Rhinolophus ferrumequinum: one gene and its partners. The main gene of each other region encodes a partner of the protein of the gene in region 3 in a complex. Links are inferred from orthologs where the notes say so. Each region holds a gene or a part of one and is shown on either strand. Other genes may lie near its edges. The genes, in order: STX5, STX7, BNIP1 and VAMP7.

Region 1 (7,355 bases), on a different chromosome or scaffold from region 3:
TTGAGCTTTCCCTTGTACACGCCATGCCTCTGCAAACACTGTTTCCTCTGTCTGGAATGTTCTTCCACGGCCTCTACACAAACCTTGAAACCAGCTCAGATTTGACCTCCTCTATGAAATATTTCCCAGTGTCCCTAGACTATCTCATTTATCTTTTTGTATGATCTTTTCAGCACACTTTCCTCCTATTCACTGTAAGTCTGAGTTTATGGGGCTGGTTACCTCTTCTAGACAATAAGCCCCTGAAGGCAGAAATCTTGCCTCATGTTTGTAAGGCAAGTGCTCATCACAGCGCTTTGTATACAGCAGATGATCAGTAAGTTTCTATTGACTCAATGGATGAGCAGGATGTTTGGGCTGGCTCTAGGAACTTGCTCTGGGTCTCCATGGCAATGGAAAATGATGGATGTGACCCGACAGGAGTGCTGGGCTCTCCTGCTAGCTAGTAGCTCACCTGTTTGATGATATACGTTAGCTCCTCAATTTCCACTGCTTTATCATCAAAGAGGGACTTGCGCTTTGCCACTGCAGAGACAAACAAGAAGGCAAGAAGGGTGAGGTCAAAGACAAGGCTCAGGGAGTCAATTCCTCAGCCCTCTTTGGTTCACTGCCCCATCTCTGAAACACCGCAAGAACACTCACAGATTGTCAGCTTCTCCAGCTTGGCAAATGTGTTGCTGAGGTCTTTCCCAATGCGCCTGTAAAGACGCAAGAGTGAGAACACTGTGGGAAAGGGTCTATTTCCACACTAGCTCCAGCACAACCAATCCTGCCCTCACTGCCAGGCCACCAAAGGCAAGCCCACTTCTCCTCCGACACTGTATCAGCACACCACATAACTTCTCCCAACTCACTTGGCCATGAGTGTGAATTCACTGCGCTGCCGGACAGCACGCAGAGCTGGTTTGTTTGTCTGTATTCCATTCTGAAAAGCAATGTCAACAGGTGAAACTTTAATTCCCCCTCCCCATTTCCAGCTTTCACTGTTTTCAGGTGTCCACTAAACTCTCTGTCTAGTACCAGTGGCATCCTCCACCAGACGGTCTAATTTTATCAGTAGCAGTAGTTTAGAGTCCATAGTTGAAGACAGGAAGACCTGGGTTCAAATCTTGACTCCACCACTTACTAACTGGGGGGTTGGGGGCAAGTTACTGAAACCATTCTGAATCTGTTTCCTCTTCTATAAAATGAAGACAATCCACACACCTCATATTATCGTTGCTAAGATTAAACAAGAAGACGGTTGCAAAGTATTTTAGCCAAATAGCTGGAACATTGAGAACACCAAATAAATAATAGTTCCTATCACCACTCTACCACTGTACTCCAATCAGGGAATTGAAGAGGATAATTGGAAAGCTCATACAGAAGAACAGTTGCTAACAAGAGCTGAGCAGTAAAAATATTTAATAAAATTACAGTCACACAGATCCCACTTAGATTCATAAAGTCCGGATTGAGACAAGGGAAAGCAATTTTTAAGAAAAGCACTTCAAAGTGAGTTTGATAAAAATTACATATATAAAAACTGAGGTCCAACTAACTTCCCCGTGGTCACAGAGCAAATAGTGGTAGAACTCCACCAGAACTAGAACTCAAAGTGCTTGTCTCTGGGTTAAAGGCTCTTTTGAGAACCTGCTCCTTATCCAAACGAAATATATTGCAGCCACCTCTCATCCTGAGATATTCCTTCCAGAATAGCAACCCTACCTTCCAGGGGATTCCTCACAAAAAAAGTCTGGATGCTTGCCTCTAGATAGGTTGCCCACCTCTTAGTAGATTCTCTATTGCCCCCTCCAAGCCTGCAAGCCTGATCAGTTCTCCAAGAGTTTCCGACAAAAATTACTCCAATCAAAAAAAAAAAAAAATTACATCAATCAACAGTGCTGGAGCACAGCCTCTCCCAAATTTGAGTAAAGCTCATTCCTGCCTTTCCCACTTCTGGTCCTTACCTGACGGCTCTGCAGGGACTTGCAGGCAGACAGGAACTCCTGGGTCCGATCCCGGCAGGACATGGTGTCGGGAGGGGGAGGGACCAGGGCCACTGGGGGGGGCAGAGGGGCGATGTCGCTGCTGCTACTGCCAGCAGTTGCAGGGGACAGGACCTGTGTCTTTGAGAGACCCAGGTAGACACCCTGATCCGTGTTCTTAGACCCGTAGCGTTTCCGCGGGATCATTGAGACGCATAACCTCGGACTGTTGTGGAGGGGAGAGTGTCATTCTCCAGGCAGTCTCCTTCCCCACAAATTCCCCCCAACCAGCAAATCCTTGGGTCCCAAAGCCACCCTCAGATCCTGGGGCCGGCCCTCAATGGGCAGGACCCCCCGCTTCCTCTCCGGCCTAAGCCGTTCCCCTCCTCAGCCTCTTCTTCCACCTTGGCTCAGGCAGCCAGAACGTGGGCCGGGGTCCCTGAAGCAGAGACAGGGCTAAAGGCAGGTCCCGTGGACCCAAGGCTCCAGCCCAGTCTGTGCATCTGCCGTAGGCCCTAACTGGGCCCTCTCGTATTCACGGGTTTCTTCGACTCCTCAGGGAGAAACGAAGACCGACCTCCGGAGGGGTACACACTTCGGTGGGCGGAGGGGGGAAATCTCTGGGTGTTTATTTGAAACAGGAAGTCCCACCTCCGCTCAAGCCCCGCCTTCTGGAAGACGGCAACTATTGATTAGGTAATGCCGACGTCTTTCTCAACAGGAGCTTTCCTGATTGGACGGCGCGGTACTCGCTCACCCGGAGCCGGGCCGGCAGGACTTGTCCGCGCGCCCCTAGTTCCCTTCCCCCCGCCCATCGCCACCTCCGGAAAGCCACTACCGGGGGCTGACACGGCCGCCAGACCCCTCTTAGAGCGAGTCCTACCTCCTCTCTGCCGCCTGCCGCTGCCGCCGCTACCACAATCTCCCGGGTCGTCACCACCTCCTCCCCGGGCGCCGAAGCCGCGGAAACCCGACCAAAGACTAGAAGCCGCCACGTCACCCACACGTAACCCCACCCCCGGTGACGAGGAGGCGGTGCCACGCCTTTTTGAACTCGGCAACCCAAGGGACACGCCCCCCACCCAAACGCAATGGGAGGCTCTCGCCCTCCCATTGGCTAGGCCTCTCCCCTGACTCCGCTCCCTAGGAACCAGAGCCTGGACCCAGGGGGCTGGGCCAGCCTCAGCGGAGGAGCCTTAAAGAGACCGCAGCCCCGGTGGTTCCCGTGCCTTGTTCGCCCAGAGCAGGCAGCCGAAGCATAAGCGCTCCGGCAAGTACACGTTAGAAACTTTATTCTCTGAATGGGGTGAACTGAGAGCAGGGCTGGGGTCACCCCTTCTCCGGCTCCTCCAGGACCTTCTCCGCGTTGTTCTGTAACATACACCCATGCTTTTGATTCTGGATTGATTGCCTCCTGTTTGACCGCGTGGAGCCCCGACGGCTGAACATGGATAGCCGCCTCCACAGCACGGTGATCAACAGGCTTTTGTTACGCTTGGGATTCTGGTGGTCCGACGAGTCCACATCAATCCCTTCGGTGTCTGCGGGAATGACAAGGCTGCTCAGCTCAGCTCTACCCTCCCCGTCCAACCTCCTGGGCCCTCCCCCTCTCCAGCCCCCTGGGTCCCCTGGTGTGTCTCATCCCACCTTCCTCTTCCACTTCCTCTGATTGGGCCTCCTTGGCGTGACCCTTGGAGGTTTGAAAGTCCTTGTCTTGGCAGCAGCCCATGGCCTGTGCAAGCCCGGCACTGGGTACCACCCACTCCAGCCCACCTGGCTCTCACCAGGCTTTTGTGACGTCAGATATCCCATCGCCTCAGCTTAGAGAGCAGCCACCCCTCTTTCATTTCTACCATCACAAAAGGCTCCGAGTCATGGTGGGTGTCGAGCTGTTTATTTACAAAGTGAACACAGGCTCTTCAGGGGCTGGTGGAGCCAGGCCGCTTCTTGTTTCTCTTTCTGGTTTGGAGAGCTCCTGGGGTCCGTTCCAAATCAGGGAGCTTCCGTTTGGCAGCAGCCTCCAAAGAGGCCCAAAGTTCATCTGCCTCTGTGTCTTCTAGGGGCACCTTACTGGGATCTTGAGGCTCTTGGGGCTCATCCTGGTGAGTGGAGAAGAGCTTCAGTGTCAAGGACACAGTCATAGACCCACTGGGAAGGAGGCTCTAGCTGGGAAACAATCACTTTTATTTCCTGCTCTGGGAACTCATTCCCACCCATGTTCCTGTCACCCTTGGCAGTAACCCTGTCAGGACTGTAACTATTAACATTCCTCACAAAAATTAAGTAATGCGACAGGTAGATGGATAGTCCCAGGTCTCTGTTCCAGCTGCTTCCTTTTTTCTTCCCACAGGGAAATAAATCCTCACATCTACGTCCTTGGCTCCCACATTCCCAGACACAACTGCTCACCTCCCAGTTATCCCTGCCTGACAGGAGAAGGCAGTTCAGTTGAGATTTGAGATAAACCTGCAAAAGATGAGGTACCTTAAGGAACCAAGCATGAAATAGAAACATGAATGGGGGCACATTTGGCAGCAGGCTCTCACCTTATGCTCCAGGCCCCGTGGATTCCGGATCCTGTGTACCCTCAAGATTCTGTCCAAACCACAGGAGGCTAGGAGGGGCTTTGAAGGGTGGCATTGCAACCCTCGGACACTGCCCGCTAGCCCCTTCAGACAGCCCAGTAGGCGCCCTGGAGAAGGGGGTAAGCATCAGTGCCAGCTGACCAGCCAACAACCATTTATTGTTTACTATTCAAATCACTTTACATTTCAATATTTAATCCTTAACATAACGCTGAAGTAGAAATTACCATTAATATCTCCATTTCACAGGTGAAGGAACTAAGGCACAGCGAGTCAAAGTAATTTGTACAAGGTCGTACAGCTTTTGAAACCAGGATTTGAACTCAGATAACCTAATACCTGAATGAGGGCTCAACCGCTCTACTGTCGTGCCTTAGAGGGCATCCTACCCTTCCCCTCCCCCAAGGCTCCCCAGTCCACTACCTTGCCGAAGGTCAATTTCTGCCAGCTGCCCATGAGTGTTCCCCACAATCACTGAACTGAGGAGGAGGTCAGAGGAAAGTGGGGTCAGCAGGAGCCTCCAAGAGTCCTTCCTGACCCCACTCTTTGCCCTCTAAACACTCACTTGCCCCCAGGAGTGAGAGTCATGGCTGTCAGTGGGTACTCTCCATAGGTGGCCTCTAGAACCGGCCGGCGCTGGGGGGAGGCTGGATCATAGACACGGACCTGGAGGAAGACTGCGGTATCACAGGGTACCCTCACTCCACATACCCCCCTATGGCTTCCCCACGTCTTCAACACCCCCTTCATATACTGCTTTGCTGTTTATAACCCACTCTTAGAGAAACTTTCTCATTTGAAATATATCCCTCTTCTGAGTGTTAGGGGGTTGGGGGAGAGCCGTTAGGAGCATAAATGGACAGGGATGAGGGAAGCGATCCTCCAGGTTGGGAGGTTAAGCCAGGAGGTAGGGATGGGGTGGTCTCTCACCTGATGGTACCCTGTACAGGTGACAAGCTTCTGTGACTCAGGGAGGAACTGTATGTCCTGGTCCCAGATGGGAACTCGCAGGTCAAGCCAGTCATTCCGTACCTGGTGGGGTGGGTAGATGGGGGGCAGGGTTGTGGGGTGCTCAATGTGTCCCTTCCTTCGGCCCTCCATCACCCCTAAAGCCATGGTCTCTGACTCATAATGGCCTCAGTTCCCTGGACCTCAGACCCAGCCCCTCCCCACCCATCACTCACATTCTTGGCTCTGAACACAGGCTCCTCAGACCCCTGCAGGTCCCACACCTTCAAAGCATTCTCTTTCCCACCCGTGGCAACTACGTGGGGGTGCACTGGGTCTTGGCGCATCCTACACACCCCAGGGCCCACCCTCAGTTCCAGGAGCTGAAAAGAATGGGAGATGAGATGAGGGATGAGAGTCAGTTCCAGAGTCCTTAATCCTCTTCCCCCAAAGCTTTCATTCAGCTCCCACCCTGGCCCCCTCCTTCCCCAACCACAGGGATCAGGGCAGGGGAGCCTCACTGGGCCGGAGGATGTCTCCTTGTCATTGTCACCCCAGACTCGAAGAATCCCAGAATCCACACATGTGATGAGGGTGCTGCAGAGGGAAGATAGACTTAGTTAAAAAAAAAAAAAGTGAAAGTATCCTCTAGGCTCCCTTCAACCCACCCCCAAATTAACTAAACTAAATTCCTACAGGCCTGTTCCTAAGGAAGCCTCTAGGCAACTCTGGTCTGGACAGGGCTTGGCAGCTTCCAGCTTCCCGTTGTTTAATTTCCTCAACAGAGGGAGGCTTTACCAGTTTTATAAGTGAGGAAACAAGCTCTGAGCAATTAAAAGATTTGCCCACTGAGCTGTGAATGTCAGAACCAGAGCTGGAAATCAAGTCTGTGATACTCCAAAGCAGAGAATGCCTTTGTATTCCACAGCTCCATCTGGGGTCACCCGGCCCCACAGGTCTTTCTGACTCTTGAGTCAGACACCAGGGAGTCAGAATCAATAACTCTGAAAGGACTGAAATGGGACTGGTTTGGATTTAGGGTTTGGCCAAAGTCAGACACCAGCTTCTTTTGAGTTCCATGTTCTGGGTTCCAGACGCTAAATGTCGATCTCTCCCTCAAAGTACCCCTCCCACAAAGCCCAAGCAAGTCTCTCCCCAGGAGCTGTACAGCCCGAACCTATGGTCCTTCTCACATTTGCTCACCCTCCCACCTTGGTTCAGGGTCTGTATCACTTCCCTGGATTATGGCAACAGTCTCTGAACTGCTTCCTCTCCAATTTATCCTCCACACTCTTACAGGCTCACAGCTCTGACCACAGCACTGTCCTCTCAAAAACCAGTAACCCCCACCACCTACAAATGTACAAATCTCTCAGCCTGGCATTTAAAGCCCTTTACAATGAAACCCAACCTACCCTGCCTATCTTGTATTAAAACGCTTCCTCAGCTTCAACCCCCAAATACTACTGATCGCCCCTGAAAGGTACCCTGTAGTGAGACATCAATCCTTGGCCTCTGCCAAGGCAGTAGCCTCTTCCCAGAATGCCCTTACCCCTTTCTCCACCTGCCCAAATTCTACCAATCCTTCAAGGTTCACTTCAAACATCTCACCCACACAGAGCCTCCTAGACCTCGCCTGTCAGAATTATTACTACCAAACACACACAGCCTGTTCACAACCTCCTCTCTCCATCTTTGGAAGAAAGCTGGGCCGGTAACCTAACCCAAGACACCACTTTCCTATCCTTTACTTTGGGACCTTCATCACCTTGTTGGTGGTTGTTAGCCCCGTTTAAAAACATCCTCTTAACTATTAAATGACTTGCTCAGGGTCACTCAAAAAATTATGGAA
Region 2 (7,909 bases), on a different chromosome or scaffold from region 3:
GGGTTCTGCTTTCTTTGCCCTTTTCAGTCTAAGATAAGAAAACTCATTCAGGTAAAAGGAATATGACATAAGTTATAAACTTGGATCTACTCAAAGAAATGAAGATTCAGAAATGAAACATATGAAGGTAAAATAAATTTTTCTCTCATTTTTAAATTGCTCTAAAAGATGGACAACATCTCACTAAAGAAAGCATATGGGTTTCAAATAAGCATATAAAAAGATGTTCAACATCATTATGGAAATGAAATTAAAACCTCAATGAGATGCCACTACATGCCTATTAGCATGGATAAAATTAAAAAAGAAAATCTAATAATATCAAATGGTGAAAAGGATTTAAAACAACAGCAATCCCCCATTCATTGCTGTTAGGGATGAAAAATGATACAGCTAAATTGGAAACAATTTGGCAGTCTTTTAAAATTAAACATGTACAACCCAATAATCCCACTTCTAGATATTTACCCAAATGAATTTAAAACTTATAATTTTATCAAACCCTGTATGCAAATATTTATAGAAGCTTTATTCATAATTTTCAAAAATGGAAACAATCAATAGGTGAATGTATAGACAGTTTTACATCCAAATAATAGAATTACTTACTCAGCCATAAAAAGAAGAAACTGTTAATGTATATAACAATGTGGATTTGTCTTAAGTGCATGCTGCAAATGAAAGAAGTCAGGTCCAAAAGGCTACATATTGTATGATTCAATTTATATGACATTCTGGAAAAGGCAAAACTGTAGGGACAGAAAACCAAAGGTTGGGGAAGGAGTTGACTAAAGGTACTACAAAAGGGGATTTTAGGCAGATGACACTGTTCTTGTTCTGTATGGTACTGGGGTGATGAATAGATGACTCCATGCATTTATCAAAATTCCATAGAATTGTATACCATAAAGAGGGAACTTGACTCAAACTGAAAAAAAAAAAAATTTAACCAGGTGTGCTTGGTGAACACCAGACAGAATGCAGACAATATGATGATTGAACTTGACTGTAATACAAACATGACTTCACTGATGGAAGTGGGGGAAAAAAGCTGATCTTGGTAATTTGAAAAACATTGTAAGGCTAAAGACAAAAGAATTGTTCATAAACACTGTACTCAAATTTTTCTCTCACCGGAGCGTGAGTTAGCAACTCTGAAACTACATTGTACAATAAGTAATTGAATTAGATAATGGGAGCTAGGTTCCTCACTGTTAGAGAGAGGAAGTGAACAATAATGAAGCCGGGAATGTTAGAATGAACCCTGTGAACTGGATTACAGTTGGAAATATCTATATGAACTCATATATATACACTTATATATATATATATGTATATATGTGTGTATGTATATATATATATACAGATAAAATTATAGATACATGTGTATACATGAGTTAATATACTTACATTTATTTCTTAGCTCTGTGCACTGAGAAGGCATAGAAGCAATCGACACCCCAGTAGCAATGAGAAAGCTAGAGTGCAGATCTTTGAATACAAATACCATTTTCCAGTCAAAGAAACAATGGCTTCATTGTAAAATGACTGATTTTAGAGCCAGAGCAGGGAAAATACAAGATAAGCCTGGAGCATCTTGTTGTACCAACAAGTAAGGAAATGCTGGGGAAGAGAAGGGGAGGGAGGTGCTCTCAAAAGGACACAGGAGCCAACTTAAAAAAATTCCCAGTGATGGAGAGGCAACTTATTACAACCTACAGAATAAAATAAATATCCATAAATCTATACTGATATAAATAAATGATTAAAATATAAATGAATTTGGGAGAAAAGACAAATATTCCCTACAGAAGAACTGAAGGAAGTAGAAAGTCACCTTTAAAACACAACAGTAATAACTGCTGTAGGCAAAATATACTAATGAATGCTAGTCAGTGGGCAAAACTTTAAGGAAATGTAGGTTATGTTCACGGCCTCCAAGTATCTCTCTCCCAATATTTATTTACTGTGGTAGTTTAAATATATGTCCATAAATTTTTTTACATTTTTTCATTCCAGAGGTGGAACTCAGTTCTCTTGATTGAATAGAACTCAGTTCTCTTCTAATGAATATAGTATGGAAATGGGAAAATGGTAACTTCACATTGGAGAAAACTCACAGACATCGTATTAACCAGGTGATCAAGGTTAACAGCAGCAGTCATAGATCATGCAAGTTTCATGTACCACATGAAATGATATGATGAGAACACTTTACCTCCATGGTATTCTTTCCAAAAGTCTATGACCCCGTCTAATCACGTGAAAACATTAGGCAAACCTAATTTGAGACCATTCTACAAAATTCCTGACTAGTAGTCTTTAAAAAGTGTCCAGGTCATGAGAAAAAAGGGAAGACAGAAAACTGTCATAGATTGTAGGAAACCAAGAAAGCAAGCTGTGTAAATACAACATGATATCCTAAATTGGATCCTGGAACAGAAAAATCAACATTAATGGAGAACTAGTGAAATCCAAACCAAGTCATAGTTTAGTTGATATTACTTTACCAAGGTTCATTTTTTTTTACTTTTAACGAATGCGCCATGATTATGGAAGATGTTAACATTAGAAGAATCTCTGTAAGGTGTGTATAAGAACTCTGTGCTATCTTTGCAACTTTTCTGTAAGTCTATAATTATTGTAAAATAAAGAGTTTACTTTAAAATGAGGAGGGAGAGAGAACATATTCTAGTTGAAGGAGACTGCATAAGCAAAGCACAGAAATAAGATAACCTCTGGTGTGTGGTTGGACAGCTGGTGGGAGGAAGGGAGGAGCAGAAAGAGATGAAGAAGTTCTTTAAACTTGCATATTCCAAAGCATAAATTTTCATGCAGGGGAAGGCAGGATCCAGATCATGTAGGTCCTTATACTCGTATATAAGGTGACCATATAACATCGCTTCCGAAATGGGACACTTTTGATAATGAAAGTGGGTGCTCTCTGCAGACAAGAGGCTGGGACAAGCATAGGCTGGGACTGTCCTAGAAAAACTGGACGCATGATCACCTTATTTATATGCTATAATAAGGGGCTTGGACTTGATTTTGAAAGCAATGTTTTCCACAATGTATATTCTGCAGGAACTTATAGCCATTAAATATAAAAACATTTCATGGTCAAATACATTTAGAAAATACCAGGTTAAAGAAAGTTCTTCTTTTTTTACTGAACAACTTCTCAGAGCCTATAATTTACAAACATGCACTCTGAATCTTCAAGAATGTATTATACCATGGGTTTCCAGACCTTTCTCCATACACACTCTTCCCTAATTCCTTTCCTCAACCTATACAACCCAGTAAGCACCCCTACTTTTTTTAAGGAGTGTTTTTTTTGTTTTGTTTTGTTTTTGTTTTTTTAAGGAGTACATTTGGGGGCATGTTGCAACCATGGGGATGGCATGAAGCCTGGAGTGATGTTTTCAGTTTTGTGCTTCAAATACTCAGTGGTGACTCAGAAGATAATAAAGTCGAGTACAACCTGAGGTAGAGATGCCATTGAGGAGGCTATTGAAGTGGATCCAGACACCGTGAGGGATAGAGAGTAGAGGGCACATATCAACAATATTTAGGAGGTGAGAAATGAGAAATGAACGTACCGACCATGGGTTAAATGTCCATTAAGATTTCTGTGGGATGCCTATTTATTACCTCTGTGTTTAAAAATCAGAGCAACATCTGTTCTGTGCTTGACATATCACTAGGCACCTGTGTGGTCTTAGAAAGAAAACAAGCAGATTGCAGAGGGAGCTCGGAGGTGCTCCAAAATAATCATAACAAAACAACTGTTGTTTATTAGGTATTACTTTAGCTGACTTTTAATATAGCACAGATTTAAGAAAGCATCTGTGTTTTCCCATTGTGTTTTAAATCAAAAACAAGCTTTCAGAAGTCAATCTGTACCTCTCATTTATCAATAAATTCATCCTGCTTGGCCAGCATGCCCACCTCTTTCTATTGGTCCCTCTTTACAGAGGCAGAGTGTAAGTTGCTGCTTATTATCACACTTGCAGTGTAGTTTTCTTCAATAAAGATGAGAAATAGAAAATATCTCTTGCTCCCATTTCTCTGTTAAAGGTGGAAAAATGAAAGATAAACTGAAAGATTCTTGTGTTTCTTATCCCTGGCTGACCTGACTTATGTACGATATGATTATGTATGTGTAATACCAAACAACCTAAAATTGGCTCAGGTGGTACCAATTCAAAATACTGTTGTTTTTTTTCCCACCTAAGTGCGTCTGGACTTTTGATGTTCTGATGATCTTTTCAGAAAATAGTGTTGCCTTAATATAAGCAAAGGCCAAGCCAATCTATCTTCTACTTAATTTGGTGAGGTATTTCTTTCACCTGAAGAAACTGATGCTTTTTATCTAACAATGACATTATGTTTGAATATTATTATAACACTCTGTTCTTTTCAAACATATGAAAACTGTGTCCTGTCCTTCAAGGATGCTTGGAATGATTTGTACATGCTGTGAAAACTTGTCTACTAAATGAGCACATAAAGGTGACTCTTCACTTATTTTCCATTGTTCCTGCTAGGACTGTGCATTTGTGTGTCCCCCCCCCCCCCTTGTTTTTTTACTGGAGCTGTGAATATGGTCTACTGCAGAGTAAAGGGTTAGGAAACAAGACAGGCATGAGCTGATGGGGCGGGCTGAAGACATGCATCAAGAGAGGCCGGCATCACCCAATAAAGAAGACAGCTGCCCTCCATTCCCTCCTCGTTTTTTGCACGCAAGCTAAGGCGTTCACCATCTGTATGTCAGGCCTCAAAAAACACCTCCCTTGCAATTTTGCTGATACCCCCATTCCTTAGCTTAGAACGAGGGGGCGGGAGAGGACCGCGGTCACTCATCCCGCGGCCAATTGGAGGGAAGCGAGCCCCGCCTCCTTCCTGGGCTGTACTGCGGGCATGCGCAGTGGGCGGCCTACCTCCAGCACCCTTCAGTTTAGAATCGTATCTGGGGGCTCTGGGGCCTTTGGGTGCCCGTGGCCGGAGCAGGAGGAGGAAGCCGAGGAAGTTGGGGTAAGCGGAACCTGGGGGAGGGAGGGTGACCGGCCGGGAGTCCCGGAGGCGCAGTGTCCCAGCGGCTGCCGCGCCTCCCTGTTTGTACGGGATGTCAGGTGGCCGCCGCCCTGCTCTTTGCTGCAGGCGCTCGGGAGGCGGAGGGCGGCTGCTCCCCAGCTCTGGGAACCCCCGCCGCTCCCCGCGCCCCCCGGCTCGGCGCGGGTGCGCGGCGGGGTCCGGCGGCGCGGCCTGGAGGCCCGGCCCGTCGGGCCAGCCCCGCGCCGGCAGCCTGGCCGCCTCCCCGGCCGCCCCTCGGGCGCGCGGTGCCGCGGTCACTCAGGCGCACCTGCGGGCTGCGCGCCCCCGTGCGGAGCCCGCCCGGGAGCCGACTCCGGCTGCTGCTCAGGAATCCAGGAATCCAGCTTCGGCCTCGAGCAGAAGACGAGTTGACCTCTTCCTCTTTTTAACTCTCGGATTTAGAAAACACATTTTAAAGTTCTCTTCCCGGATATAAAGGAACTAAAAACATATGGCTACAGTAAAGGAACCGTATACGTTTATTCAGGGACTCATTGTTGATTTTCTATTTGGCTTGATAAAGCTAACTTGGTCTTCTCAGTACATGTCATTAATTGCTTTATATAAAGATCTTTAAAAATACGTAAAATATTTCGAGATACCTCCCCCTCTTGTTTTTCAGGTTACTTTCTTTCAAATCAAACTTGGAGAAAAAAATAACAGTGCTTTTCTGGTCAAATGCTATATATATATATATATATTTTTTTTTTTTTTTCTCAAGTGCCTTGTATTTGCTTGGCTCTTACTTACATTCATTTTTGTTTCATTCCGGTAAATGTATATATTAACTTGCACAGAATCTGAAAGAAAAGGAAATGATTATGAAGTCCGGTTCTGTTTAGTAATGCTGGGAGTGCAGGTTTCTTCTGAGGGGTGGCCTGAACCTCACTCGGCATAAACTGATAGCACGGTTACACTGTGCATTGTGATGTGAACAGACCTCTGCTTGACAGGCCACTTTGAGGAGTTTGTCTCAAACTACTTGTGACAAGTTCAGAATTATGCTCTAGTTTCAAAGTTTCTGTAGAAGTTGATATGATACCGTGTTAACTCATTAACGTCTGCATCATTTTTCTTTAGATATTTCACTTGGGCTGCTCCCCATAACAAAGTCAAATGTAGTTTTGGTTAGGGTTACAAACGTTAGCCAAGTGCCAGTGGTTGAAAAATGTGTAAAACCTGAAGTAAGTCTGAGTAAAGTTTGCCGTGATTCTATTTAATTTGGAAACTTAGTGTATGGAAGGATGAAAAATAATCCTTTGTATTGTGAACTAAAGCCAAATAATATACTGTTTTAACAGATGGAAGAGCTGAGATAAAGAACGTGGTTAATCTAGTTGATCTGGAGAATGCTCAGGTCCATAGAGTAATCACCCTTCCATTCATGGAACATCTGCCATGCACCTGACACTAAATTCCAAGGTTCTCTCTCTCATGTATATTCCAGAGGTGGGGATAGATAATAAGCAATATACTAATTAGATCATTTTAGATGGTGATTAGCACTATGATACAGTAAGTTAGAGAGATCAACAGATTGTGCCGGGGTGGTGACATCTCACTTCAGATGGGAGTGGTCACCGAAGACTTCCCTAGCATGTGATGAGACCTTGCTGGGAAAAAATGAGCCAGTCACATGGAGGTCATGGGAAGAGTTTTCTAGGGGTAGGAAATGGCACCAAGGAAGCAATTAGCCTGGGACATTCAGGATCTGAAAGAAGGTGCTGGAATTCAGTGTCTTAGAAATGGTGATATTTACCCTCAAACTGGTTGTGTGTTTTTAGGAAATAGGTACCTGTATTCAGTATTCTACAAATATTTATTAAGCACCTATTATATAGCCAGGTACTGAGAATACAGCAGTCAACAAAATAGACTGCCTGCCCCTCATTAATTGGTTTATAGAAAGACCTTTAAAAACACATAAAATATTTCAAGATGCCTCTTCTTCTTGTTTTTTAGATTATTACTTTCTTTAAATTCAGATATAAAGAAAAAAAACATTGCTTTTTCCGTCAAATGCTATATTTTGACAGAAATATATTTTCACACTTTGGGACATGAGGTGGAGGGAAGGCCAGTTCTTTACGCTGGTCCTCATGCTTAAGAAAGTGAAACTGACTTTTCTGTTGCTTTGTGTATAGATGTATTTGTGCATATCGATGGAGGGCCCATCTAAGAGAGTACATAAATAAGAAAAGGAACATTTCCTCATTCACTGTGTTTGTGTTGGCTGTGTGCCAGTTTTTCTAGAGCTCTAGTTGATAGAAGGAAAGGAAAAAGAAAAATGTCATTGAGCCAGCAGAAAATGGTCTCTATCCATACAGTAGAATATTATTTGGCAATAAAAGGAATGAAGTATTGATTCATGATGCAATATGGATGAAATTTGAAAACATGCTAAGAGAAAGAAGCCAGTGTACAAAAGAACATGTATTACATAATTCCATTCAAATGAAATGTGCAGAATAGGCAAACCTATGAAGACATAAAGTAGATTAGTGGTTGCCTACAGCTCGGAAGGTTGGCAAGAAAGGGGAAGTGACTGCTGATGTGTATGGGCTTTATTTTTAGGGTTCTAAATGTGATGCGATAGTTGCACAACTTTGTGAATATTTTCAAACTCTATTGGACTGTACACTTTAAATTGGTGGGTCGCATGATATGTGAATTATATTTCACTAAAGCTCTAAAAAAAGAGAAAAGATGCAGGATTTAGAAATCCAATTGGTGGTTTGTAGGATGCTTGGGAGAGTGTTGGTCTCATTGAATCCCCAGGTCCAGCCTTGTTCTGTGTGAGCCCCAGCACTGC
Region 3 (7,272 bases):
AACAGCCGAGTTGGGTATTTCGGTGTGCCAAGTTCAGGTGAACTAGGTTTGCCTTTCGTAACTGTCAACACAATGGTGTCGTTGAATTCTGGGGGGACGGGAGCGGGACTGATTACTGTGTCTTGCCCTTCGCCCTATTATTTTTCAGAACCAAATAACAGAAATGTGTATGTGTGTACTGTATCTGCCTTTGACCACATTTTTATGACACTGTACTCCACTGCCTGCTTTTTTTTACCTTCTTTCCCTAGGATTTGTCCTATAACTTAGAATTTGTGGTTAACAGTGATACGAGGGCTGACCGCACATAAGTCACAAGAGTGGAAGGGCAAGAATTCAAAGCATTTATTCATACAATGTGGCAACCTCTCTTGCATAGCTGTGTAGGATCCTGTTTGTAACGCTATCATAAATATTCTGTAGTTTTGTTTCCCCACCCCCCTCAACTGGAGCTATGAAACTTTTTATTGGATTCAGTCTTGTCTTTTGTCTAGAAAGAATTTTATCTTGTTGACGCATGAGCTGTTTAAAAATTATTCTATTAAATGTTGGTTAATAGTTGTGCAGTTTTTCTTTTCAGAAGAAAAGGCAATTCAGCTGTTGCCTTTGTTTTCTGTCATCTTCCAAGCCCTCAGCACTTCTAGTCAGATACAGATTCATCAGTGTATGCAACATCCTTTGTAATTTAAAATAAAAAAAGATGAAAAGAAAAGCTCTTGAATTGTTTGCCTCATGTTTTTGCCCTTCTGTCTCTTGCTCTTCTGTTGCTTACCAAGGTAACCATCAACTCCCTTCCAGAAAATCCACTGCAAATAAATTCCAAACTAAAGACAGCAATGAACTATGGATCACGCCCCCCCCCCCTTTTCTTGGTGTAGTGTACAAAGAGCTAACTTTTTTTTTTTTGACACTGTGGGCTGATTCCTCCAGTAATTTAGCAAAACTTATCTATAATGTAGAATTATTTATTGATAACACTTGCATTCTTCATAGTTTAGAGCATAGTTTAGTGTATAGTTATTCTCCTCTGATTCTTTGGACAAGTGATTTCTCTGAGGGAAATTAAATATTTTGTTTCTTATTCGTTCAAACATCTGTAGGTTTTTGTGTGTTTAATAATTCCAAGTAAGTCCTCAAGCTAGGCTGGACATACATAGAGCCTTCAGTTGGGAGACCACTGTAGCAGTGAGTTCCTTTAGCGAACAAACAGACTTGCTCCTTCTGCCAAGACTTGTGCCTAGGTACTGGGCTCTAAGGAGACTAGAGACTTCCAGTCTGCTGAGGGAGGTGGCCTGTGAACAGGACCACAGAACAACACAAGAGTTGTTACACATGCAAAGGGCTCTAGATATGTTACCGCCGAGTTATTTGCAAGGACACAGATACCACATCCAGTGGGGTATGTTAGAGAAGAATTGACAGGCTTGTGTTCCTTACATGCCTGGACCCATGAAGAGGAGCCCTTTTTGCTTCCCTTGAGTGACACAGAGGCCGTCAGGAAGCAAAGTGGACATAGCCTCCCATGGACTGGTTGTGCTTCAGGACTTGACCTCAAGACCACTCTTCACAGGAGCCTCTTTCATGGTCTAGGAACTTGAAGGAGCTGGGTGAGTCAGGTCTGTCTAGTCCTTAGACAACTAAACCTCCTGTGTCACCCAGTTAGATGGGTCATTCAGTTGTCCCTGCTCATCAACATTGATTTCAGAGCCAGGAAAGCTCCTTAGCCACAAAAACTTTAGCTGGGAAATCTTTTAATGTCCCAGCTGGAAGGTTCAGAACAGCAAGAAGGCGTGAGAAAGTCCTAGATGGTCAGGGTGGCATTCATGAAGCCCCTGCTCAGTGCTGTCTTGTCAGAGAACTCGGCTCCTGCTCTCAATTGCCCAGTGAAGTGGGTGGTCATCAACTAGACTCAGATAAGGGCACTCACCCCGGACCCAACATATAACAGCTCCAATTCAAACTCCGTCTGTTTGCTGCACTCGGAAACAATTCACACTCCTAAGGCCAAGTCACAGGCAATATTTGGATGGATGTCTGTGTGGAATGGAGATAATGGGCTTAGAATCTGACAACCAGAAAGGACTAAAGTCAAAACCTAACACATTTAGTAACCAAAAGCTAGTCTCAGGATCAGTGGGTAAAGGCGATGAGAACAAAACAGCGTTGGCAGTTTGGCAGTGGGTCACCAAATCGCAAACCTCTCTCTCAAAGATGGCCGCTAGCTGGCAGGCTTAGAATTGGGTCTTTTTGTTAGAATGGAGTATGTCGGAGAGTAGAGAAATGGGGAGATGTGTTTTCTTCTTAAATTGCTGAGAGAGGCAATTGGGAACTGTTGATTGCACAGGTATTTCCAGCAAGAAGCATGATGTGAAAGGGCCCCAGCTCACATGGGCAGATCTGTCACTTGCAGACTTTGGGCTTCTTCACTGTCTGGAATAGGGAGCTTTTGTTTGGGGATCCAGAACGTATGACCTGAAAAATCTCAACCTCAGTTTCTTTAAAAGGTTTTAATTTGAACATTGCCAGGAATGAACTGAACTGCATGAGGTCTAAAGAAAACTTGAAAATACTAAGGGCACAGAAAACTTGAACAAATAACAGATAGACCAAGTTCTTGAACAGGAACAGTCTAAGAAACTGTTCAAGAGAACAAAGCTGTCAGTTCTCCTAAGTTAAATAAAAAATGTAATGCCATCCCAGGAAGGACATACCAATAGGGTTAAAAACAAAACTAAGTTCACATGAGGAAAAGAATAGGTGGGAGATGCTGGGGAAAGAAAAGGGGGTGTTCAATCCCAACATAGTAAAATACATAAAACTATCATTGTGAGTGTCATTTTGGTGCATGAATGAATGGACAGGCTAATGACAGAAATAGATTCAAACATAAGAATTTAGTCAATGTGGCATCCTGAACCTGTGAGAAAAAGATTCTTCAGAAAATACTGTTGGAAAAACTGGGTAACCCTCTAGAAAAAATTAAGTTGGCTCTACACTTCACATCATAAGCCAACATACTTTTCAAAATGGGTAAAGATCTAATGTAAAATAAAAAAAATTAAAAATCATAAAAACAATTCCTGTGGGTGGGGGGAAAAGCCTTTTTAACTTGGATTTCAAATCCAGGAGTCATAAAGACTGGTAAATTCTATGTGGAACAAAAATAAAGCAAAAAATTTAAACCTTGAAGGCCAAAAAAACACCGTAAGCCAACTAACTCAACATTCTCTAGGCGAAGAAAAAAGCTCACGGCTAACGGCATAATCCTCCTAATACACAAAAAGCTCCTGGGAACTGATATGAAAAAGACCAACAACCCAATAGAGAAATGAGCCAACAATAAGTCAATACAAATAGTCCTCAACCTCATTCATGATAAGAAACATGCAAAATAAAAGATGGCGTTTTTCACTTAATCAAATTGGCAGAAATCCCAGTGTTTGTTAACACATCATGTTGGCAAGGCCGTGGGAAAGCAGGCATTTGTACCACATGCTAGTGGGAGTATAAACTGATAATGACCTCTGTGAAGAGCAGTTCGGTCGCATGTAGCAGAATTTTTAAATGCACATACCCTTGGACCTGGCAATTCCATTTGCGCCGGGCAAAGTTATTATTCTCCTTGCCTATTTCCTCGTGTGTAAAATGGGATAATTCTATCTCGTGGGGTTGTTATGCGAGTTAAGTTAGATGATACACATAAAGCACTTAGTACAAGTACCTGGTACAGAGGAAGTGTTCCCGAAGTGTAATAATAGCCGTCAAGGTGCATTGTGTTCTTACCACATGTCGCATTACCACACTGCGTGGTGCTTTTCATGTCTTATTTAATCCTCAGCCCACCCTGTGATTCCACCAGGTAGCCTCTGAGGAAACTGAGGCACAGAGACGTGAAGTGGGTACACTGTGAAATATGAAAATACAAGAAAGTTTAAATAAATATTTAAAAATTGTTAATGCCACCTTCCAGAGACATCCCAATCGATACTTTCCTTCCAATCTTTTTTTTTTCTCTCTATATGCAAAAAAAATCTGTAACCATTACAGTGGCAGATAGGCGGAAGATGGGGGAGAGGCCACCGCGAAAGCGTTCTTGATATTCCCTCTTCTCTTCCTCTCCGTTTTATTAGGACCACACCAAGAAACGAGGCCGATTCCGCCCTGCCCCCTCACCCGCCCCCGGTGTCAAGGACAAGTCCCCACGACTCGGCGCCGCCACTCTCGCTCGCCTCGGGCCGGTCTATAGGGGGCGCTGCCGCGAGACCGGGAGGCCGAAACGCGTTTAAACTTGGCCACCGCCGCTGCCTGTAGTCGGCGTCTCCAACATGGCGGCTTCCCAAGATGTCCACGTCCGGATCTGTAACCAAGAGATTGTCAAATTCGACTTGGAGGTGAAGGCGCTTATCCAGGTACTGATTCCCGGGACCCATGTCGGGCTCCAGCCGCCCTACACCCGAGCTCCGCTGGTCTCCAGGGAGCTCCGCCGTCTCACTCTCGCGCTTTCCCCACTTGGTCAGGACCCCAGCTGTGGAGGACTCAGGACGGGCCCCGAGCACTCATAGGTAGCTCTGTGGCCGGCTACCTCCTCTCTGTACCCTCTTCCCCTTGACCATGGGCCTTGAGCTTCCATCCGGGTGTCGTTGGCTCGCGCTCATCCGGGACACCCCCGTGTCCCCCTCCCCTGACCAGGCTTCCCCTTTGTGGCCCTGCTTGGTCCCTGCCATCCGCACCCCTGGCTGGCGCCTCGCCCAGGACCACCTCACAACCTACCTATCACCCTGCTTGGCCCCGCCCCACTTTTTGGTAGCGCTTTGGAGGCATTAGCCCTGCCCCCTGCTGGCCAGCTCCGCTGGGTCCGGTGCCCCGTGGCACTCAAGACCACTTGGCACGGATGAAATGAATGTAACCTGAACCGTAGTTGTGATTTTGTTAAATGAGGGAATCGAGTCAAGTGCCAACGCCTGGATCAGAAGGCAGGTAGTAGCAAAACTGGGACCTGCACGGGGAAAGTCGGCCTTCAGAAGGGACTTAGTCTCTACTCTGAGATAATTGAAGGTGCTTTGGCTCACGCCATTTAAAGGCAGAAAGCTGTACAATAAACCATGGCATAGGCAAGAGTTAGGAATGTAGAAATGGTTCCTTGAGGTTAGCAAAAGAAACCAAGAGTTTTAAACCCTGTTTTAAGCAAGTCGTTTCTATTTCCCACAAATGTTACTAAACATCAGGCGTAGGCTCAAAGTTTGCAGCTAGCTGAGGCAAAAAGTGAAGGAAAGGAGGGCTCCCCACGGAAACCAGATGTAAAATAAACTGAATTAGTGGTTTATCATATGGTGCCAGGAATTGTGATTTAATGAGTAAGCCAGAGAACAAATGAGGAAACTTGATATAAACATTTAAACTTCTTGAACTTCCTTCTCCCATGCATAAACTAAGAAACGGACCAATTCTAGACTCTGATGAGAAAGGTTAATGATAGCTAGATTCACTGCACTCTTACTGTGTTCCAGCTCCTCTGCCAAGCACCTTACATACATACATGGTCTATGAGTTAGGTAATGTGTTGATGAGGAAACGGGCCCAGACAACTCAAGTGACTTTTTCAAGGTTACATAGTTAGTAAATTGCTACAGCAAGAATCTGAATTCACATAGTCTGGCTGTAGGGCCTGCTCTAAAACCTGACTCCAGTAATTCTGAATGTTCAGAAACAAATTCTAAGTCTACCCTAGAATATGTGTATAAACACTGTGATTTATAGTAGGTGGTTTGTAGAATCAGATTGAAGTCAATCTCGTCCTACGATGCCAGGAATTTAGCACCCTGGTTTTCAAGTTGGAAAGCTCTAAAGTTATGGTATCACTTTTGGCTGTGCATTTTAATTGAACACACAAGCTGCGTTAAGCCTTTCCTACCGGTCGGGTGGCATTTTGTTAAACTTTAGGAACTAATAAGTCGAGACAGAGTTGTGTTTCTTTGTATCCTTTTATATTACCTACTCAAAATTAATTTAAAGAGGGATGAGAAAAATGTAAATGATAACGTTCTTGCTTGTGTCGCAGAGGTGAACAGCAGCGATCACGTCAGTAGGCCTACCTTAAGTGGTGGTCTAAGCTAACGCTCTCACTGTACAGACAGTGTCATTTCATTTCATTGCCTTGAGAAAGGCCCCTCACCTCTTCGATGTCTCCTAGGATATTCGAGATTGTTCAGGACCATTAAGTGCACTGACTGAATTGAACACTAAAGTGAAAGAGAAGTTTCAACAGTTACGACACAGAATCCAGGTGAGTGGCTGCGGAACTGAGATGCTGAGAGTCAGGGGACTTGGTCCTGGGACTCACCGCTGTCCAGGTTCTTGAGGAAACATTCAGACAGTGAGAGTAACTGTACTAAGCTGCTGTCCAGGTAAAAATGAGGAACTGGGAGTGCAGAGCACTGCCAGCTGTGCTAAGTGGATGGCAGGGACACCAGTCGTCTTTGCTTGGAATTTTTCAACTTGAAAACTCTGAGGTCACTTGAACTGCTTTTTCTCTCGCGCTGTCTCCAATCCATCCCCATTGTCTCCTGGGTTGTTGTTTTTTTCAGGCTGCCGCTTTGCCCAGCCCCTTCCTTTCTGTTTTCTGTAGTGACCAGTCACAGCATATGCACATATAACACTCTTGAATTCAACTGTGGTATAGGTGCCGTCTTAAAAAACCAACAGGGAGAGGTACCAGTTTGAATAGTACAGGTGTTGCTGCCTCTGTGCCTTCAGTGAGGGTAAAATGGGGGGCGTGGATCTGCCCATCTCTGGGTGAGTCTTGCGCACCTGGTCTGGCTGCATATGGTACTGAGGTTTAAAGACTTCTGCTTTTCATATCGCATGGCTCCAAATGCCAGCCAGCAACTGTTGTTCCTTAACAGAAGAAGACAGTCTGTTCCAAAGCTGGTAGAAGAACTGGCCGTTTAGACCCTGAGAAACAGTATGTCTATGTCCTGTGTGGTTTTCAAGCCCAGTTTTGAAAATACACTTTTTGTCATAGGAGTTCACTTTAGAATTTTAGCAGTGTCGCTGAACGTAGTGTCTTTTCTGCCTTCATCACTAGCACTGATTTAATCATTTTAATGTTTTTGAAAGGGTGTTGCTCTCACATGGTTTATACATATGTGTGTGTATGTGTGTAAATATTGGCACACAGCGAAGTCTCAGTTATTCTCCTTTTGTGTTCTCCAAACAAGTAACCAACCACCTTTATTTGTTACTTATGTATCTTTCCATAGTTTTCTCTACTCA
Region 4 (7,354 bases), on a different chromosome or scaffold from region 3:
GTTTCTTTTGCTGTGCAGAAGCTTTTAAGTTTGTTATAATCCCATTCATTTATTTTAGCTTTTACTTCCCTTGCCTTTGGAGTCAAATTCATAAAACGCTCTTTGAACCCAAGGTCTATAAGTAGACAGAAAAAGCAGAGAACCATATGATTTCACTGATATGTGGAATATAAACCAAAAACAACAAAAGAACAAGACACACAAATGAGAAACAAAAACTCTTAGACACAGACAATAGTTTCGTGGTTACCAGAAGTTAAGGGAGGACGGGGGTGGTATATGAGGGTAAGGGGGATCAAATAAATATATGGTGGTGGAAGGAGAACTGACTCTGGGTGGTGAACACACAATGGGATTTATAGATGATGTAATACAGAATTGTACACCTGAAATCTATGTAACTTTACTAACAATTGTCACCCCAATAAACTTTAATTTAAAAAAAAGGTCAAAGATTTTGTAGATATTGACAACATGTTACCTCCCTCTGCTGATTGGGAAATTCAAAGGAGAACAGACATTCTTGAGGTAGGTCTGTTTTGAGCATTGAATAACAGGAAGAAAATGTGCCCACATCCTAATATCCAGGATAAAGGACATAAACAGCACTCATGATCAGTGAAAAGCTGCAATATTGTGAATGATTTTGGTTCCAAAGAGACAGTCAGATACATGTATGTGTATGTGTATATATATATATATATATATATATATATATATATATATATATATATATATATGCCAAAAAATGTATACACATTTTAAGGAAAAAAACTGTATTAAAATAACAATACTCAATATATGCCGATAACAAAAGGTGAATACAAGTCGTGTTTGACGACTGCAAATACAAGAGGTGCTCAAAGTGGTTACCATCAGCGTCCAGACACTTCTGATTACAGCGAACTACTGCTTAAGCAACGTTGACCAAAATGTCCACTTGTATACATTTTGGCACCCCCCGGTGTGTGTGTGTGTGTGTGTGTGTGTGTGTGTGTGTGTGTGGTATTTTAGTCCAACAGACATTTCTGGAGCATCTAGCATATGCGAGCTGATTTGTAATCCAGGTTCCATCTCATCTTAGCTTTGTAATCTTTGTCAAGACCGGAAAAATTCTCATGTGTACAACTAGGGGATTAGATTATAATAGGCTATCTAAGCCATCAGTTCTATAATTCCAGGCTTGGTAGCTACAGGAACTGAAATGGAAATTGGAACCTTTACTCCATAAACTCAAACTATGTAAAATATGGATTGTAAAAATCAGTCACTTGATGAAATGGTACCGGAACTTCTGAATTTGAAAATTATAAAATTATAAAACCACCTATTTCAATGGTTCTGCATGTACTTTAGTGTACACATCCAGAAGCATTTTTTTTCTTGGAAACTACCCAACATATTTTGAAAACTGTACATATTAATTTATTGCTAGGATAGACAATGTATTGGCATGCTAAATGAAGCCAGATAAATTTTTTAAAACTCATACATCAGATCACATCGCACCTCTGCTTGAACCTCTCTAATTATTTCCCATTACACTTAGAACAAAATCCAAACATCTTCTCCTAGCCTTGCAAGACCCTCTGGTCACAAGAAGATAAGAGAGACCAGAACTCCAAGCAGAGAAAGCTGGTGCAAAGATCATAAGATATGGAGGAACTTGACATATCTGAGGAACACAAAGAAGGCCAGTGTGATCTTCTCTCCTACCACTCTCCCCTTATTTCTGCTACCATCAGTCGCTCTGGCTTTATTTCTGTTTCCTCTCATATTCTTGTGGCCGACTCCTCCTTGACATTCAGGTTTCAGCTTAAGTGTTACTGCCTTAGAGAGACCTTCTTTGACTTCCCAATATAATGGCTTAGGCTAGAGATTCAAATTTTGGAGCACAGATATTACTTTAGGAGAGAATATGGGGTGATTTAGGCTCCCAAACTCATTTCTCTTTCTAAGATACTATGCTGCCTCTCAAAGTATAGGTATTAAATAAAAATAAATTAATATGTAAAGCAAAGCTTTGCAGAGGGTGGATAAAATTTAAAAAAAAAGAAGCATATACTTTGCTCAAAAATGAAGAGATGCTATTTGAGACAGGTCTTGAAGAATAAATAAGATTTAGACAATGGACAGCATGTGCAAAGGCACTGAGGTGTGAAAGAGTATATTATTGAAGTGCTAACTCCATGTATGCAAGGACATTGTCTGTCTTGTTTACTATTATATCTCCAGTATCCAGTAGGCACTTAGTACACATTTCCTGAAGCAATTAATGCATGGATGAGTGAATACTACCATAGAGGAGCAGGCTTTAACACAGGGTGTGTTGGTGAGAGAAGCAGAATATGAAGCAGGGAAGGTAGAGAGGGATCAGTTCATGGAGAGCCTTGAATCTTAGAATGTATCCTCTACATAATGGGGAGCCAATGAAGATTTTAAGTAGGATTTTGAAGTGATCAGGTTTTGTTTTAGAGACAATATCAAGTGACAAAGGGGGGATGATGAAGGAGATACAATAGGTACAGAGACATTAATTTTGATTGCTAGTGCCCAGATCATTTTGTTCACGATTTCCTGAATGTACTTGATCTCTACCATGTTTCCCTGAAAATAAGATCGCGTCTTACATTAATTTTTGCTCCAAAAGATGCATTAGGGCTTATATTCAGGGGATGTCATCCTGAAAAATCATGCTAGGGCTTATTTTCCAGTTAGGTCTTATTTTCAGTGAAACACGGTATAGCCCACCCAGAACTGATAACAACTAAAGGATAGTATATCCTGTATGCATTAGAGTAGAACCCTGTGTATAGTGCCTCATAATCAGTGCCAGTCACCAAGATGGTATTACAGAAGGAGGAGCAGGTTATGGGAGAGAAGAGAGTAGAAATGTATTAGGCCAAGTGAGTACTACGTTAAGCTTTAGGTGTCTGAAAGAGATGCCCAGCTGTCGTGAGATATTTAGGTCTGGGTTATAGGAGTCCTGTCTGGCCTTGCAATCAGCATACTGATGACAACCAAAGCAATGGTAATGGTTAAGATCACCCAAGAAAAGTGTGAAGAGTAAGAAAAAAAAGAGAGTCTAGGGCAGAGTCCTATGAAACATAAATTTATTTCAAAGGAAAATGAGGATGTGTCACATAAGTGAGAGGGGAACCAGGAAGAGTGAAACATCTTAGAAAGAGCTAAGAGACTAGAGGCTCCTATGAAGTGAATGTTTGTGCTCCCCGCCCAAATGTATCTGAGCCCTCCTCAAGTGATGGTGTTAGGAGGTGGGTCCTTTGGGAGGTGATTAGGTCATGAGGGTGGAGCCTTCATGAATGGGATGAGTGCCCTTAAAAAAGATATGAAAGAGATGACGTCTTTCCATCTTGTGAGAATTCAGCAAGAATGCAGCAGTCTGTGAGCCAGGAAACAGGTCCTCACCAGAACCCGACCATACTGGCACCCTGGTCTGAAAGTTCCCAACATCCAGAACTGTGAAAAATAAATTTCTGTTGTTTAAGCCATCCAGACTATGGTATTTTGTTAAAGTGGCTCGAACTAAGAGAAGGTTTCAAGGAGGAGGAAACAATCAATGTAAAATTGACATAATTGAAGTATGGTAATAGTTTAAGAGTGCCTATTTATTTTAGCAACTATGTTGAGAATTTTGACTGGAAAGGAGAGGTGGGAGGAAGACCACAAGATTAAGTCTGTTGTGGTGAGTGTTTTTTTTTGGGGGGGCGTGTAGGGTTGAGAAAGGTAACTCTGGAATGTTTTAGAAGAGAGAAACTCTGACAATCTTTAAATGTTGACAATAAAGAGCGAGTAAGAAGTGTCGGGAGACAGAAGCGTTCATCAGTGGAGCTAGCCTCAGAGTTGGTAGGAGGGAATAGTGATGCAAAGCAGCTAGAGGAACTTAGATCAAAGTACTAGTAGTTGTTGTTGTTGCTACTGCTGCTGCAAAAGAATGAGAGAAAAGACTGTGAGGGGTCCAAGGAGGTTAGAAATTTTCGTGGCGGAAGTACAGGGAGTTCCTGTCAGACGAATTCTATTTTGTCTGTGAAGTAGGCGACGTAACCTGCTGAGACTAAGCGGGGAGATGGTGGGACAAGATCGACTCTTCATTTATCCCGCCGACTCAGTGCTGGCCAATTCTTTGTGGCCCTGTATCCTCTTGTTTTCCCGGAGGAACAGTGCTTGCCGTTGTTTACAAGAGTTGAACGAACGTGTGACAGCCTCCGCGTATGACAGTCGAAACTACCACTCCCAGAATGCAGTGCGGCTCCTGGGAAGTACGGTGGCTGGGAACGCTCAGGCCTCGCCCCTCCGCCCGCAGCCATTGGAGGAGTGCGCACATTCCCAGGAGGCCGCGCGCGGGCGGGGCTCTATACCCGGAAGCTGGCGGCGTCCGGTCCCTACCGTCTCTGGGAGCGGGCGGTCGGCGACGCCGCGCTGACCCGCGCCCCTCAGTCCCGAGCCCGCGCCCTCTGAGAGGGTGCCCGGACAGGTAAATGAAGCGGGGCGCGCTCAGCGGAAGGCAGGGAAATGACGGCGGTGGGAGAGCAGAGGTGTCGATCTGAACGTACTGGGGTGGGAGGAGGAGGCAGCGCAAGGGTGACGTACTTCTCTGGTGTCGACAGTTCGAAATGTCAGACAGGTCCAGTTTTGGCGAAGTGCGTTTTATGCCACTGAAATGGCCTCGACTTAAAGAGTGTCAGAATGCGTCACTTAAGTTGTTACAGAAGGGAAAAAAATGTTAACTTTCCCTCAGCTCGCGTTCTACAAGACCTCTCTATAGCATTTGAATCTCTTGACATCTCTTCAGCCTTCTGAGAACTCCTCGCTACGCCCTTGTTTCGATGACGTCACTTTCTACTTCATCTCCTCTTTCTGAGCTCCCACGTGGGTTTCTAGTCCTTTGCGTGCCCTTTCTCTACCACCCAGTGTTGACATTCTTCTACCTCAGTTGTGATAGGAACTTTTATCTCCGCCCAGATATGTTTTCTGCGTTAGACCTGTATGGCGTCATTGTTATTATTGGCCAACTCTGACCATGTAATAGATTCTTTGGGACATGCTTTACATCTCCCTTTCCCATAATCCCCACAATCAGTTATCAAATCCTTTTCTGTCTTATTCATTGCTCTCAACTATCTGTACCTCCATTGTCCCACCCTTGATCCCAGAGGATACTGTCATGTTTGGGACATTCTCTGCCTTTGAATGGCTGTGGTTGAGAGCATACCCACTTATATGTTTAATAGATATTTACTGAACAGGTAATATATGCTAGACATTCTTCTAAGCGCAAGGGATATAGCTGGAAACAAGACATAGGAGATCACTACTCTCAGTAGCTTACATGTTTATGTGTGGGAGCAAACAGGAGTAATCAAGATCGTGTAATGTGGTGGTGGTGGTGGTGAATGTAAAATAACACAGGTGGTTGACTTGACAGAGTAGGCTCCTATCCTGAAAAAGTCAGAGGAATTGGGTTGGGGCTCAGAGCATCACCCAAAAAGAATATTTCTAATACCAACAAGAATAGTCTTGATCTGTGACCAGACTTAAGGCTTTTCATAAATACCCGTCTTTTCTTCTGTCATATCAATGTTTGTTCTTCATTCTTCTGTCTCCCCCAGCGTTATTACATCAGAATTGGTGGTTTATCTGTCGTTGGCTTAGTTCCTCCTAAGACCCAGACAGAAGAGTTGGGGGTTGGATTATTCTCAGCTCAACTGTTTTATCTTACTTAGGGAGATAGTTGGTAATCAAAATATTTTTCTTGCCAGGTCCTACTGAATATAAAGTTATCTGTCATTTATAGTATATATAAAACCAAAACATACTGTTCATTCATTTATTCAACAAATATTTGAGGGAATGGTATATGCCAGGCACTGCTGGGCACTGGGAACCTAGTGAGGATAAAATAGACACTTTGAACTCTCTTCCAAGGAGAAATAGTTGTAACAGTACATTGAGAAAATTCCTAATACATAGGCTCTCACCTGCATTCTTTTTTCTTCATTCAAGGTGAGATTATCACAGAACTTTAAGAAATCTCCCGAACAATTGTGTACATTGTTAGATTATTCACTCATTAAGCTTTATTGCATTTATTTGTTTGTGTCTGTCTTCCCCATTGTATATAACTCCCTTGAATGTAGAGGTCTTTTTTCACTGCTCTTCATGTCTCCAGTGTCTACTATAATGACTGCCACATAGTAAACCCTCAGAACATGTGTGTTGAACTGAAAGAGAAAAACTACTTGATCCAATCCAAATCACTTAATTTGTACGAGGCCTTCTTTATATAAGGCCATTAGATTTATCCCTAAACCTTGTCATTCACCAAATGTGGACCATTCCATTTCATCAGGCTAGTTTATTTACCTTCTCTAGCTTGTTCTCATGTCTGTGTCTTCTCTTGTTCCTTAGCTCCCTCCTAAAACGAGTTCCCATCTCTTTCCTGAGCACCTTGCGTGCCAGGCCCCCATTTCATTCAGTGGGCCAATTTAATAGTATGTCCCATGATAACAAGGGTGGGAAAAATTTAGTATTCATTGTGTTCCTATGAAACATTCTGCTAATCAACTCTTGCAAGGATTAGCATAATACATCCCCTTGCAATAATATAAGTGATGATACAGGATGCTTGCTTTTTATTTTGCATTGACTATTGCCATGTGCTATGCAATGAGTTGATTCTTCCACTTTTTTCTGTTTGAACAGTTGCACAACCTTTATTCATATAGCACATTATGGTATCATTTGGTTTCCTCTTGGTACAAACACATCTTTGAGTATCATTTTCTCCTTAGCCTGAGATAATGTATGGTTCATGTTATTCTGCCTCACTGTCATTTTCAGAATAGCAGATAAACTTCTCAGTTCTTAAAAGTTTTGTTCCATGCAGATATATTTCAATTGTAAATTATTACTGCAAAAGATAAATTTTATCTTTATAACCGATTTAAAAACAACAGGAATACAAGAGTGCTTAACTCATGACTGTCATTATGATTTTAGAATGTGCCAACGTAAGAGCAGCCAGACATGCTTCTAAGACATTAAAAATTAAGCATTGTCATTTTAGGGAATTTCTTGCTGCCTATGCCTTCCTAATGCAAATGAACACTGAATTGTGTGCCATCTCTCATTTATAAGATATACGTGTGGATGATCTAGAATATTCATATACATTTTTTTTAATTTTCCCAAAATAAAACTATAGAATTTAAACATTTCTCAGAACACGGACTTGAGTGTGAGAAACACTGACTTGGCCTTTTCCCCCCAATCAGTTCCCTGAAACTCTCCAACCTCCACTGGAAGATGCCTCCACCCAAGAGGTATTTGCATC

Evidence for each region.
Region 1: BNIP1 (region 3) and STX5 share a complex: the UniProt entries of both Homo sapiens proteins name them as parts of the SNARE complex. The link is inferred for Rhinolophus ferrumequinum from reciprocal best matches to the Homo sapiens genes BNIP1 and STX5.
Region 2: BNIP1 (region 3) and STX7 share a complex: the UniProt entries of both Homo sapiens proteins name them as parts of the SNARE complex. The link is inferred for Rhinolophus ferrumequinum from reciprocal best matches to the Homo sapiens genes BNIP1 and STX7.
Region 4: BNIP1 (region 3) and VAMP7 share a complex: the UniProt entries of both Homo sapiens proteins name them as parts of the SNARE complex. The link is inferred for Rhinolophus ferrumequinum from reciprocal best matches to the Homo sapiens genes BNIP1 and VAMP7.

What each region holds. Positions count from the first base shown.
Region 1 is NC_046294.1:8,020,017-8,027,371, reverse strand, and holds the start of STX5 (syntaxin-5), read right to left. Parts: upstream 3,009-7,355; 5' UTR 2,854-3,008; intron 2,643-2,853; exon of another isoform or gene 2,197-2,642; 5' UTR 2,178-2,196; coding exon 1,953-2,177; intron 926-1,952; coding exon 855-925; intron 699-854; coding exon 643-698; intron 526-642; coding exon 455-525; intron 1-454. Other genes in the region: TEX54 (testis-expressed protein 54), read right to left, coding at 3,300-3,511, 3,618-3,699; WDR74 (WD repeat-containing protein 74), read right to left, coding at 3,890-4,069, 4,380-4,436, 4,517-4,662, 4,979-5,034, 5,121-5,221, 5,486-5,587, 5,740-5,886, 6,025-6,100. UniProt on the Homo sapiens protein: Mediates endoplasmic reticulum to Golgi transport.
Region 2 is NC_046286.1:79,645,157-79,653,065, reverse strand, and holds the start of STX7 (syntaxin-7), read left to right. Parts: upstream 1-4,896; 5' UTR 4,897-5,037; intron 5,038-7,909. UniProt on the Homo sapiens protein: May be involved in protein trafficking from the plasma membrane to the early endosome (EE) as well as in homotypic fusion of endocytic organelles. Mediates the endocytic trafficking from early endosomes to late endosomes and lysosomes.
Region 3 is NC_046307.1:38,787,665-38,794,936, forward strand, and holds the start of BNIP1 (vesicle transport protein SEC20), read left to right. Parts: upstream 1-4,260; 5' UTR 4,261-4,325; coding exon 4,326-4,409; intron 4,410-6,190; coding exon 6,191-6,283; intron 6,284-7,272. UniProt on the Homo sapiens protein: As part of a SNARE complex may be involved in endoplasmic reticulum membranes fusion and be required for the maintenance of endoplasmic reticulum organization. Also plays a role in apoptosis.
Region 4 is NC_046284.1:5,140,829-5,148,182, reverse strand, and holds the start of VAMP7 (vesicle-associated membrane protein 7), read left to right. Parts: upstream 1-4,340; 5' UTR 4,341-4,495; intron 4,496-7,354. UniProt on the Homo sapiens protein: Involved in the targeting and/or fusion of transport vesicles to their target membrane during transport of proteins from the early endosome to the lysosome. Required for heterotypic fusion of late endosomes with lysosomes and homotypic lysosomal fusion.